Kluyveromyces lactis: one gene and its partners. The protein of the gene in region 2 interacts with the protein of the main gene of each other region in a biochemical or structural test. Links are inferred from orthologs where the notes say so. Each region holds a gene or a part of one and is shown on either strand. Other genes may lie near its edges.

The links.
Region 1: the proteins of KLLA0_A03883g (region 2) and TLG1 form a complex in vitro, tested with the Saccharomyces cerevisiae proteins (2 studies listed by BioGRID). The link is inferred for Kluyveromyces lactis from reciprocal best matches to the Saccharomyces cerevisiae genes SNC2 and TLG1.
Region 3: the proteins of KLLA0_A03883g (region 2) and VTI1 form a complex in vitro, tested with the Saccharomyces cerevisiae proteins (3 studies listed by BioGRID). The link is inferred for Kluyveromyces lactis from reciprocal best matches to the Saccharomyces cerevisiae genes SNC2 and VTI1.
Region 4: the proteins of KLLA0_A03883g (region 2) and SEC9 form a complex in vitro, tested with the Saccharomyces cerevisiae proteins (5 studies listed by BioGRID). The link is inferred for Kluyveromyces lactis from reciprocal best matches to the Saccharomyces cerevisiae genes SNC2 and SEC9.

The regions. Positions count from the first base shown.
Region 1 is NC_006041.1:318,744-321,421, forward strand, and holds TLG1 (Tlg1p), read left to right. Parts: upstream 1-1,423; coding exon 1,424-2,119; downstream 2,120-2,678. Other genes in the region: mitofusin complex protein UGO1, read left to right, coding at 1-648; SDC1 (Sdc1p), read right to left, coding at 757-1,161.
Region 2 is NC_006037.1:343,145-345,678, forward strand, and holds KLLA0_A03883g (uncharacterized protein), read left to right. Parts: upstream 1-1,497; coding exon 1,498-1,581; intron 1,582-1,705; coding exon 1,706-1,954; downstream 1,955-2,534. UniProt on the Saccharomyces cerevisiae protein: SNC1 and SNC2 are vesicle-targeting proteins essential for normal secretory traffic between the Golgi and the plasma membrane. They may also be involved in vesicle fusion.
Region 3 is NC_006038.1:899,618-902,311, forward strand, and holds VTI1 (v-SNARE protein VTI1), read right to left. Parts: upstream 1,246-2,694; coding exon 580-1,245; downstream 1-579. Other genes in the region: KLLA0_B10263g (uncharacterized protein), read left to right, coding at 1-299; YAH1 (adrenodoxin), read left to right, coding at 1,949-2,449. UniProt on the Saccharomyces cerevisiae protein: t-SNARE found in various SNARE complexes involved in multiple transport pathways. The composition of the t-SNARE complexes is specific for a limited number of v-SNAREs and therefore allows only the vesicles carrying the matching v-SNARE to fuse.
Region 4 is NC_006040.1:173,297-177,003, forward strand, and holds SEC9 (Sec9p), read right to left. Parts: upstream 2,252-3,707; coding exon 581-2,251; downstream 1-580. Other genes in the region: ECL1 (Ecl1p), read left to right, coding at 1-267; TIF6 (translation initiation factor 6), read right to left, coding at 2,611-3,348. UniProt on the Saccharomyces cerevisiae protein: Component of a SNARE complex that may be the effector of SEC4 function in exocytosis.

The DNA of each region.
Region 1 (2,678 bases), on a different chromosome or scaffold from region 2:
GATCCATATTTTATTGATATCATACACTCACCAGACGTAACGAAATCCGCAAGCTTAATTCTTTTGGCAAGTTGCATGACAAGACTTGTATTATTACCGTTGGATCTCGTCAGAGTTAGGTTAATTATCTCTTCTGTTCGTAACGATGGTTCCCTTTCTGATAACGATAGATCCTTAAGAAAATTGTTGAGAAAATGGTCCTGGAGGGAAAACATATCCAAACTAAATAAGGAATTGGTCTTTTTGAATATATTATATTCCCTGGTAGGGACAGGATTTAGCAAATTAACCGGTGCAATACTATATCATCAGTTCAATGTTGACAAATTCACTAATGTGATTCTGTACAACACATTAAAGTTCTGCAGTAAAGTTTGTGAACTCTTCGTAAAGCTACCAATTGAGAATCTATTGAGAAGGAGTCAAGTGAAGTTCTTGTTCACAGAAAACCCATTCCAAGTACAATCTGAAATGTTAATCATAAAACCAAGGGAGTACCAATCCATCTACCTGACGGTATTCAAGCAGTGCGACAGAATTAGTGAACTATGGCGAGGCTGGAGACTCGGGCTTCTAAGCATTTTATGCGGTTATGGTTTGAAGATTTTAAATAAGCCATCAGAAATACTCGAAGAGGAGAAGTTTTAGTTCATGTAGATATCTATAAGTGAACTGGACATTGAAGGAAAACATACATATATAAAATAATAATAATAATACAGATGTCTTTAGTTTAAGAAAGTCGTAAATTCATATCTACGATGAAGGCTTCTGGTTCATTTCGCTTGCATCAATCAAGAACTGGCCTAATACTCGAAGTGGATCCTCGGGCTTTTCTCTGGCTATCAGTTTCATTCCTTCCAATAAATGTTTTGTTACATGTTCATTCAAATATCTTCTAGTGGTTGACCCACCGATCATCGCTACTGGATCAACACGATCATGATCAATTTGTAGTTCCTTCTTGGGTGATACTTCTCTTTCTGTTGTAGCTGCAGTTGCAGAGGTAACAGTTCCAGATGATTCCCTTGGTATACCCGATGGAGACAGGGGTTCAGTGGTAGAAATCGAAGAGACGCCAATATCCGGTACAATATGTTCTTCTTTCTCAAGTTTTACCACATCTTCAGGTGCCATATTCTCCATCACTGGTTCTGACATGTAGATAAGCTTCAGTTGTGGCAGGAGACCAGGATTGGAGCTTTATTCGGCCAAGTCTAGGTGTAGATCTGTCCATGTATATAGTCAAAACTCAGTGATTTTTCAAGATTGTCAATAATAAAAGGAAAATAATAACAAACTGAAATCTTAAACAAAGTTCACCAAGGCAGGTACAATTCGAGCTCCCCAAGAAACAGACCGCACTGAATCAGGTAATACCAATATTATATCAAAATTAACCACCAAAAGCAAAGAGGACAAAATGGATCCATTTATTCAGGTTTTCAAGGACACAGAGGAACAATTGAACCAATTATTGCAGATATTAGATAGGAAGAAGAAAGGGAGATCGAACACCAGTTCGAAAGAGATCTCGGAAATCATCTCTGAGGCTCAAGAGACTATCCAAGATCTAAATGAGAGTATAGAAATGATGAAACAGGAACAAGCTATTCCCGAATACGAAATTCAGACCCGTGAGAAGTCCATGGCAAACCTGGAATCAAAATTGAAACAATGCCAGTCGTTAAATATCGAGACAACCCGCGACACCGATGCAGCTACCCAATCATCATTGCTGCCGCAGCAACAACAGCGTGGCGATTCCTTCGATTTGGACATCGAGGCAACTGCAGGCACCGACCAATCAGACGCGGCAAACCACGACGCCGTACAGGAGCAATTACTCCGTGAACAAGACAATCAATTGGACATGATTCACCAGACAATGCAAAACATTCATCTACAGGCATCTACAATGGGTCAAGAACTAACAGAACAGGGCATGATTCTCGAAGAAATGGACGGAAATGTCGACGGAGTCATGAACAAACTTTCCAGAGGAAGACGACAACTAGAATGGGTCTACGAACACAACAAAGAACGTGTCAACGACTGCTGCATCTTTCTCTTAATCATTGCATTGATCATCCTACTAGTACTAGCATTCATTTTGTGATGTATATCACCGAATTTGAACCGGGAACCAAACAGAAACCAAAAAAGGAAGAAGACGATGCACATTCCCGAGTAACGAAAGGTGCGAAGTTTCCTAAGAGAAACTGACACAATTCTTGACCCCCCAGTTGACGGATCGTCATCGTCGTCGTTCCATTCCTCTGATAGACAAAATACCTCTCGACACTGTTGCGGTATGGAAAAAAATCGGAAATCACAACATACGACAGCGGCTTTGAAATCGTACCACAATGGAGCTTTCGAACTGATTTTTTTGTTGAAATATATAGAAAGTATGGAAACTGAGAAATGGAAAAGTATTAAGACCAAGTTAGTTTTTAAGGTACAAAAGCAAAAGGTTGCTTGCTGGATTGGGTTTTTTGCACGTCAAGCTACAGTGTCAGATCCAAGACTATCGAAGAGAGCGATTTCATTTAAGAGGCGAAGGGCACTAGGATTAGGACGGAGTTGATAATACTTACTGGCATTCATTCCCGGATTTTCTGTGTCTTGTAATTATCGTTTGTTTCCCGACTTTTTTTTTCTTTCTCTATTTAGGA
Region 2 (2,534 bases):
AAATGAATCGAGCACTCTCTGTTCATTCACTAAACGTTTCCTAAAAAGTTCATAATCACGATTATGTTGTCGCCTCAGGTGTCTGACGATATTTGATGAGGTGGGATTTCCATCTAAAGTAAATCTATGTTCACATTTCTCATATTTGCACACTGCAAAAGGTGATTCATCTTTTACCTTAGTAACCCAGATCGCATAAGGAGAGGACGAGAGCCAAGCATTGAATCTTTTTTCAACTTGCCCCCGAATATTATCTTCCCCTGGACCCATGACTAAAAATGGCTTACTGAAGGGATTAAAAGAAAAGTCTTCGAACCCGAAGTTGAATTTCCTCTTGAATGCTGCTTCTGATCTGAGATATTCGTTAGCATGTGTTTCGCTTCGCTGGATGGCTGTCGATTTTGAATCTATGTTTCGATCTGAGTCACTTGAACTGCCATAACCGTGGAAGTCGCTAGGTTGAAGGAAAGTGTCATGTGGTTTATTTTTTGAACTCCCAGAGTAGTCCCAGTTTGAGGAAGGAATCGAAATTGTTTGGATAATATTGACAGTACCAGTATACTGTAAAGAACCATTCAGTTCTTGAGATATAGCAGTTCCATGCTCATTTACTGAAGATGAACGAATTGATTGTTGCATGGTCGTGCCCTGTTCTGCTACTTTGCAATTATTGACATTCTGTCGAGCTTCGAATGAGGAATCGTTTTATGTTGCTCTGTTGAACATAGGTTTTTCAGACTCATTCTGAGGTTCTGTTGGGATTGATTTACTGTTCGTGATTTCACCTGCATCATCATCATCATCATCATCATCGTCATCTTTTGGATACATTTCAGTGTTCTCTTCACAAGATGAAAAGTGCGGGTCTTCACCTTCTCCACAATTTGAATCAGAATAAACGCCTTCATCGTCATCATCATCGACAAGTGTATTAACAGAGCTAACTTCTGACAGACATGAATCGCCCTGTGAGCGTTGCTTCCTCCGCACTACACCATTCTGTTGTTTAAAATATCTTGTTCTTCTTTCTCGGAGATTGTACATCGTTAAGGAAGCTGCAACATTTGTCGAAATGTTCTAGTTGATATTAGCCTTATAGTAGTAGCCATGACGTGCTTTAGCGGAGGATTATTTAGATTGTAAATGTAACATAGTTTTGTTGTCTATGTAGTAAAATATCATTTACGCGTAAGGCTTCGTGTCTTGATTCACAAACCATTAATCACTATGCACGTATAGATTCAAATCCTAATCACTATTGACGGTGGCAATTTGTCCCCGGTACTGTTTTTTGAACGGCAAATCGAAAAATGGATAGATTTAGAAGTTAATTTAAAGAACAAACAGGCTTTTAAACCTTTATCATGGTGGATTTGAACCATTTTCAAAAGTACTAACCAATTTGCAGTGAGATTTGACTAGTAGTTGTGAAATAATAGTTTGCTATCAATTGAACCGGAACTTAGGTGCTGAGAAGTATAAAATAATTAAGCAACAATGTCATCATCTGTTCCATACGACCCATATGTCCCTGCTACCGAAGAGACCGCAGGTGACTCAAAGACTGCAGCTTTGAAATCCGTATGTTTGAAATGCATTTAACTATTTTACTTTAGCTCTAATATGAACTTCAAAGATACTAACAGTTTGAGTTGAAACGACATGACGATTGCTGTCCGTCTGTCTGTTTTGTCTCTACAAATAGGAAATCGATGATACCGTCGATATTATGAGAGATAACATTAACAAAGTTGCCGAACGTGGTGAAAGGCTAACATCGATACAAGACAAGGCTGACAATTTGGCCGTGTCCGCCCAAGGTTTCAAAAGAGGGGCCAACAGAGTAAGAAAGCAAATGTGGTGGAAAGATTTGAAGATGAGAATGTGTTTGGTTCTAGTGGTAATTATACTTTTGATTGTCATCATCGTTCCTATCGCAGTTCATTTCAGCTAGAGTTTCTAAATGAATAGGATGAATATCAACCTCAAGATTATCATAGGGTTGAACTCAAAGGTTCCTGTTTTATTTCATTTTGAAACCCGTTCATCTACAGTTTTATGCTTTTTTTTGTCCCTGCTTTATCACGATTCTTACTTTTAATGATACGAAATCAATCCGATACTCTATACGATATTCCATCAGACCATGTGATGCCATCTAAATTGTGCAAAGATGCGATATGGATTAGTCATGGAAGCCTGGCATTAACAGTAGCTTCTGTGCTTTTTCTTTCCTTTTTGATACATGCTATTTAGACCGGGACATTTGCATGTGCATTTCTGTTGATCATATATGTTTACCTTAAAAAATCTAGCAGATAAACTTATTCTTCTCAGAACTATAGCATTAATTTGGCCATGCTTCATCATTTTTCTGACATGAATAGAAATGCATTTCATTCCCGTCTACCACTATGTGGTTATATACTGGTAAAGAAAATGTACCTAATACTCAAATTTGTATAAACATATAAATATATAATTCTTTGAAAAGGCTTTTACAATATTATAATCGACGTTACTGGTAATTTTAT
Region 3 (2,694 bases), on a different chromosome or scaffold from region 2:
CAAGGCGTAAGAGTTCCAAGTCGTTAATTAACTTAACAGCTACGCAACTTGAGTTGACAGAAGAGGAGAAATATCTACATTGTATTGGTAGCACAAGACGTGAATCTGCAAAACTTGCTCAGCGCTCCGGAAGCATCATCAGTAGCGAAGAAGACGATGAAGAAGGTGTGACCTTCGAGAAACTGAAACAGAACCAGTTAGCCGAAGAAGAATCACGTCTAGTAAATGAATTAAGGAGGCGTCTATCTCATACCACTATCAATTCAGCTGATGAAGATGAATTAGAATGTCTTCCATGAACAGCGCTATGCTATTCTGACCGGCCTTTTTCCATCACTATTACTATCATTATCATTATTATTTTTATTATTATTATTTCTTATATCGTTCTTATTTTATATACAACTAGATAAGTATTCAAAATCAGATATCATTTATACACGGTAAATTGTATTCTTCTCATGAGAGTATAAAATTATACCACAAGGGTCAAAATTAAAATTATATAAATTCATTACTATAGCTATTCTGCTTAAACTTGCATTGAGACTGAACTAAAAGACGCAGAGAAATCGATTACTATTTGAATTTGGAGAATATCACTAACAAGATAAGTAGTATCAAAACCGCTATTATTGCGTAAGAAATGAACTTATTGGCTATGAGTCTTCTAGTCATGGTTTTCAAAGTGCGAATACTCTTGTCGACGTACGAATCAGCATGGAACAAAGTTTGTCTTGCATTCTCCAATGTTTCTCTTTGAGATCTCAAATCCATCATTATCTGTGCACCAACGTTCTCAGTCTCGGATGCCAGTCTTGTAGCATCCTGTAATTTATCACCAGAACGTTGTAAAAGCGCATGGTTCGATAAAAGCTGTTGCCTTTGTTCATCATTATCGAAGTGGCGACCTTCAAGTAACTTATTCCTATCGCTTTCTTGCACCAATTGCTTTAAAGGATCCTTAATTTCATTCTGACACTGTCTCTTATAATCTCTGATCTTTGCTTTATAAGATGCCCTTGTCTTAGAATCCAACGAGTTCCCTGTATTATTCAACTCTATTTCCATTTGATCCACTAATTCTAAAGATTCATCATGGTACTGTTGAATTTGTAAAAGTATATCCGATTTTCCACCTTTTAAAACAGCACCGGCATCATTCTTAGCATTAGCAAGCAAAACCTTCGCCTGGTTTATAGCGACTTGACATTCAGATTCATAGTTCTGCAATAATGAGGACATCCTGATAAAATAATATGGTTCAGAACCTTCCTTTTTATATTATCTCTTCCCGAATTTCACAACCTAAAGGAAATTTAAGGTTTGAATGTAAACTTGCAGGCCAATGTACGTCTGAAGTAGGCCCCGTTACCAGCTATAACAGCTTAATCACCAGGCCTGCTTTTCGTTGATTCCTAACATTAACTTGAACTCATGGGAGAAGCTTCAATAAAGGGAATAGAAAGAAAAAGAAAGAAAAATACATTGTTCACGTGACTTTGATTGAGTCATGTAAAGACCAGTATCTAGATAAGGGCAAACAATCATTTTGAACCACATCCGCCAAATCCGCGGAAGACCGAGGTGGAATCAGGCCCAGAAACGGTCTGTTTTTTTTGTCTTTGGTTTCATTTCATACCGGCGTTTTCATGAACACTGACAAATTGGGAAAAATCCGATGAGATTCAATAATTGAATGATTAACAATAAGCATTTGCCAATTTCGATGTGAACTGAAGGGAGAACTAGATATAAAGCAACCTTTTTTTGCCAAATAAAAGCTACTTAAGAATCAGAGTTGATAAAAGTTCAGGACAGCTTTTTTTCTCATTGTGGTATAGCAGACGGAAAGGGTCTTTGGTTTCCTTTTAGTAACACTTATCGTTGTTGTTTGTGAATTATTTTTAATCATCCATATCTATTTGGAAAAACTCCTGTATAATCAATGATCAGAGGAATATTGACTAGACAAGCTGGGCATCTGAACCAGTTAAGAGCCAGAAGCATTACTTCTCCTAGCATCTCTCACAACATATGGTTAGCCCGTACAAATTTGTCATGGAAGAGATACCATGGACATTTACATAAACCGAAACCGGGAGAAGAGTTGCATGTGACATTCATATTGAAGGATGGAACACAAAAGACTTTTGAAGTGGCAGAAGGGGACTCTCTCTTGGATATAGCTCAAGGCCATAATCTAGATATGGAGGGTGCCTGTGGTGGTTCTTGTGCTTGTTCGACCTGTCACGTGATTGTGGACCCAGACTATTACGACGCATTAGAAGAACCTGACGATGATGAAAATGATATGTTGGATTTGGCTTACGGGTTAACTGAGACAAGTAGATTGGGATGTTGCATTAAAATGAATAAGGATATCGATGGTATCAGAGTCGCTCTTCCTTCAATGACAAGAAATGTTTCATCTTCAGACTTCGAATAGAGAGAATGACTAAACTGAATTCAGTCATCATATGAAAAGAGACAGCTTTAGATCTTTCTTTTTTTCCCAACAGGGGAAGCATGACATGAGTGACACCAGTTGCATTACCTGTAAATAGGAGCAATCAACCAAGCTCGTTCGCAGTCCATTATCATTATTATTATTTATCATGCATCAGTAAAAGTTTCCCCACGCTGTGTACCGGTGCTATCTATGCACAATACATACATAGTTAAAGGTATTTT
Region 4 (3,707 bases), on a different chromosome or scaffold from region 2:
AGATCCCCTCTTTTACAACCTTTGGATCGAAGCACCGGAAGTAGTACGTCTTCCACGATATATGATCTTCTAGATCGAGATCAAGATGATATGGATTTCGATCTGGAATTGTCACTGGATAGGAACACATTAGGACATGGGGCTTCACTTCCGATGATGACGATACCGCGTTCTGTCGTTGGGAAGGATCAAGAGTTTGTCAGTTACACGGATCATACTGCTGAGGATAACTACAAGCTTTGGTTGAACTATAATTTGACAGGATAGTTAAGAGGATTCCTGAACATCACAATAACTTTGCAATACTTAAACACAAACACAACACAAACACACTCACTCTCTTTATGAACAACACGCTATGATTATATGGGCTCTCTTATGCTGGCCCCTTTTCCTCCTCCAGGTGGAACTCCTGGCACAATCGCTTTCACACATTTTCTACATCGAAGATAGATAAGATACAGCAGTACTTTCTGATATTATATAGAATATGTTTATGATGTATACCCCCGCCATGGCGACTTTAACGATCTCACATTTTGCATTTTTTAATTAACATTTTATTTATAAGACTCTTCCTTCATCTTATATTGGTTAACCTAGTCGTGTTCACATGGATCTTGATATCCAAATCATCGGTGCTCTCCTCAATCCGCTTGATCCGATCTTGTTGAGAATCTATCTCCTTACCAGTGGTAATCGCAAGTTTCTTTAACCTACCACTGATTTGTCCAATCTTATCCAAGTTCTTGTCGATTTCCATTTCCATTTCATCATCTTCTTCGTCGTTCTCGAACTGATACCTTTTAGCCTTCTCTAAGATCTGCTGGTTCTGGTACCGATCACGAACTTCAGATGGACCATGTCCACTCGACATGGCATTCTCGATACGTTTCGTACTTTGGTGTAACGTCGACGTGATATCCTCTTGGTTTTGTTTGTCCTGCATCCTTTGTAACTTTATCTTATCTTCCGCTTCGCGTGCACGTCTCTTACTATGGAACGGATTCGATACATGGACCGCTAAAATGTTCCGGTTTAACTTCTTCAATTCACTCACTTTATCATCGGCAACTCTGTTCTGGATTTGCATTAAATTCAGGTTTCTTTCCACATTGTTCAATTTCTCCGATTGATGTCCTAACATACCGATGGTATTCATACCAGCTAATTCAGCATCCTGTGCCATCTTTAGCGTGTTTCTCGTACTGGCAACTGAACTCTGTTTTGTAAATTTGATCTGTTGCTTGATCCCATCTACTTCTTCATCTTCTTCTTGTTGTTCAGCACGCTGACTTTCTTTTTGAATATCTTCAAATGTCTGATAACCCTTTGCAGGGGTCCCAATACCCTCGTTCTCATGAATGGAATTGTTTAAATCATCATCATCACCGTTGCCATTGCGTTGAACTCCCTTAGGATTATCAATTTCTGGCCTAATTGTCTCATTGAGATCTATTTCGTCATCAGCTCCGGACCGTTCGAAATTAAATTCACGGTCGTTTGATCTGGTTGCAGATGTAGAGTGACGAGGTGAGGCATAAGATCTACTTGAAACATCAGAAGCCGCCACATTTGGAGTAAAGCCCTTATATGCATTCACGCTACCAGAATTTGAATACGAATTTGTTCCATACGGATCCTGACTGTTCATGTTAGCATAAGGGTTACTAGGTCTCTGACCGGTAGCACCATTATTATTGCTGCTAGATGCCTGCGGAGACGGACTTGCGTATGTATCACCACTATAGCTGTTACTGCCATAGCTTTTGTTGCTGTAGCTATTATTCATTGATCCATACGGGTTATTGTTCTGCTGCAGTGGCGCGTTGTAACCGGTATCATATGGAGAAGCACTTGCATTTCCATAGGGAGAGGAATCACTGTTCCCATACGGAGATGCATTATCATTGCTATATGGATCAACGTAGTTGCCCGTGTGTCGAGCGCTGGCAGAAGCGTTTCTATTGTTAATCATGGAGACTTCATCGTAAGGAGAGTTGTTCAAATCATCCAACTGCTGTCGCTCAGAAGGCTGAGCTCCAGGATTCGCATATTGTTCATATCCTTCTGGTGCATAGACCTTACTTTTGACCTTATCGTTAGCAAACTTCCCATATGCGGCAAACTTTTCTCTTCTATTTGATGGTGTAGTCTTGGTGGAAATTCCTAACTCGTTCAAATATTCACGGTTTTCTTCGGGGGTAGCCTCTGGAGGTGGCTTGATCTTGAAGAACTTCTTAATACCCATGGTTTCACTACGGTAACAGCAACCTTTTAACCTTATTTGATCGATGTTCCCCTTTTACCTTGTCTTTACCTATCTAAAAATTGATGTTAAAGGAACTACAACTTTTCGATTCTTTTGTTTCATTTAAATTTAAAGGTTTCTTTTGGGTCCAGTAGTACTTAGTGAACCACGATGCACAAAATACAAAAGAAAGAAGGAAATAAACAGTATGGGGTTGATGCAAATGCCAAAGAGCAATCAAAATAAAAATTGTACTATACAGATCCAGAGATATACACCAATATTACATTAAAAAATGGGGCGATAATGGGGGCCAAAACGATATAAATGACAGAAGAGAGCGATTGTATCAATTCCTTTTATGAGTAAGTTTCGATCAAAGTATCACGCAAGTTACCAGAGATAGCTTCTGGTTGAGCGTCTTGTAGACGGAAGATAGATTCGATCACACTTAATTCTGGAGCGGTGGTATCTAGACCAGTAACTGCCAAATAGTCGTTCACGACCATACCAGCACCGACGACTTGCGAACCACGGTTCACAGTACCAGCAACTAGTGGGACTTGCAACAAAGAGGAAAGTTCTTCTTGGTCTTGTACTGTAGTCTGAGGATGCACTAGACCACCTTGGTTAGACAACGCACAATATGAACCAACAAGAACGTTACCCGAAATTGTTTGACGGAAAACTTCAACACCTAAGACATCGGCAATCAACTCCTCAGTTTCTCTGTCGATGTCTGGATGAACCAAAGCAACATAATCATTACAACAGATAACATTACCTAACGCAGATAATCTCTCCTCAACTCTTTGAACCTTCACAGCATCTGGCAAACAGTTTCTCAAATGTTGTAATTCTTGGTCGGTAGTTTGAGTTGGAACCAATAACCCTCTACGGTTACCAGCAGTCATACGACCAACAATCCTCGTACCTGCAATAGTGGTATGAGCAATAGGAATAGCATCTCCTAATTCGGCTTCAAACGCAGAATAAAAGTTCTCCGAACCACCAAGTGCCACCAAACAGTACGAGTTAGTTAGCTTCGAAAACACACCAATTTCGTTAGAATTCTCAAATTGTGTCCTAGTCGCCATAATTTCAGTTGATTTATCTGCAGTGGTATACTGGCGTAACAAGCAGAACTAGTGTTTATAAGTCAGAAGAACTGTACTAATTCAAGCCGAATCAACCATCCGCAAGATGAGATGAGATGAGCTTAGAAATTATCCAGTGAAATCTTTAAAATTTTCCATATTGCAGTGTTTTAAAGAAACGAAACACAAATTAGGTTACCCGGAGAAGAACACACATACAGTACTATATGGGTATCTCGTACCCTTATAGATGTATAAATTTGATCAGTGAGAGTTATCCAACAACCGTTCGAAGCTTAGACGAGAAATAGCTCTCCATTTCACATTCTTTCTTCTGATCACCAGACGATTCAACGCAG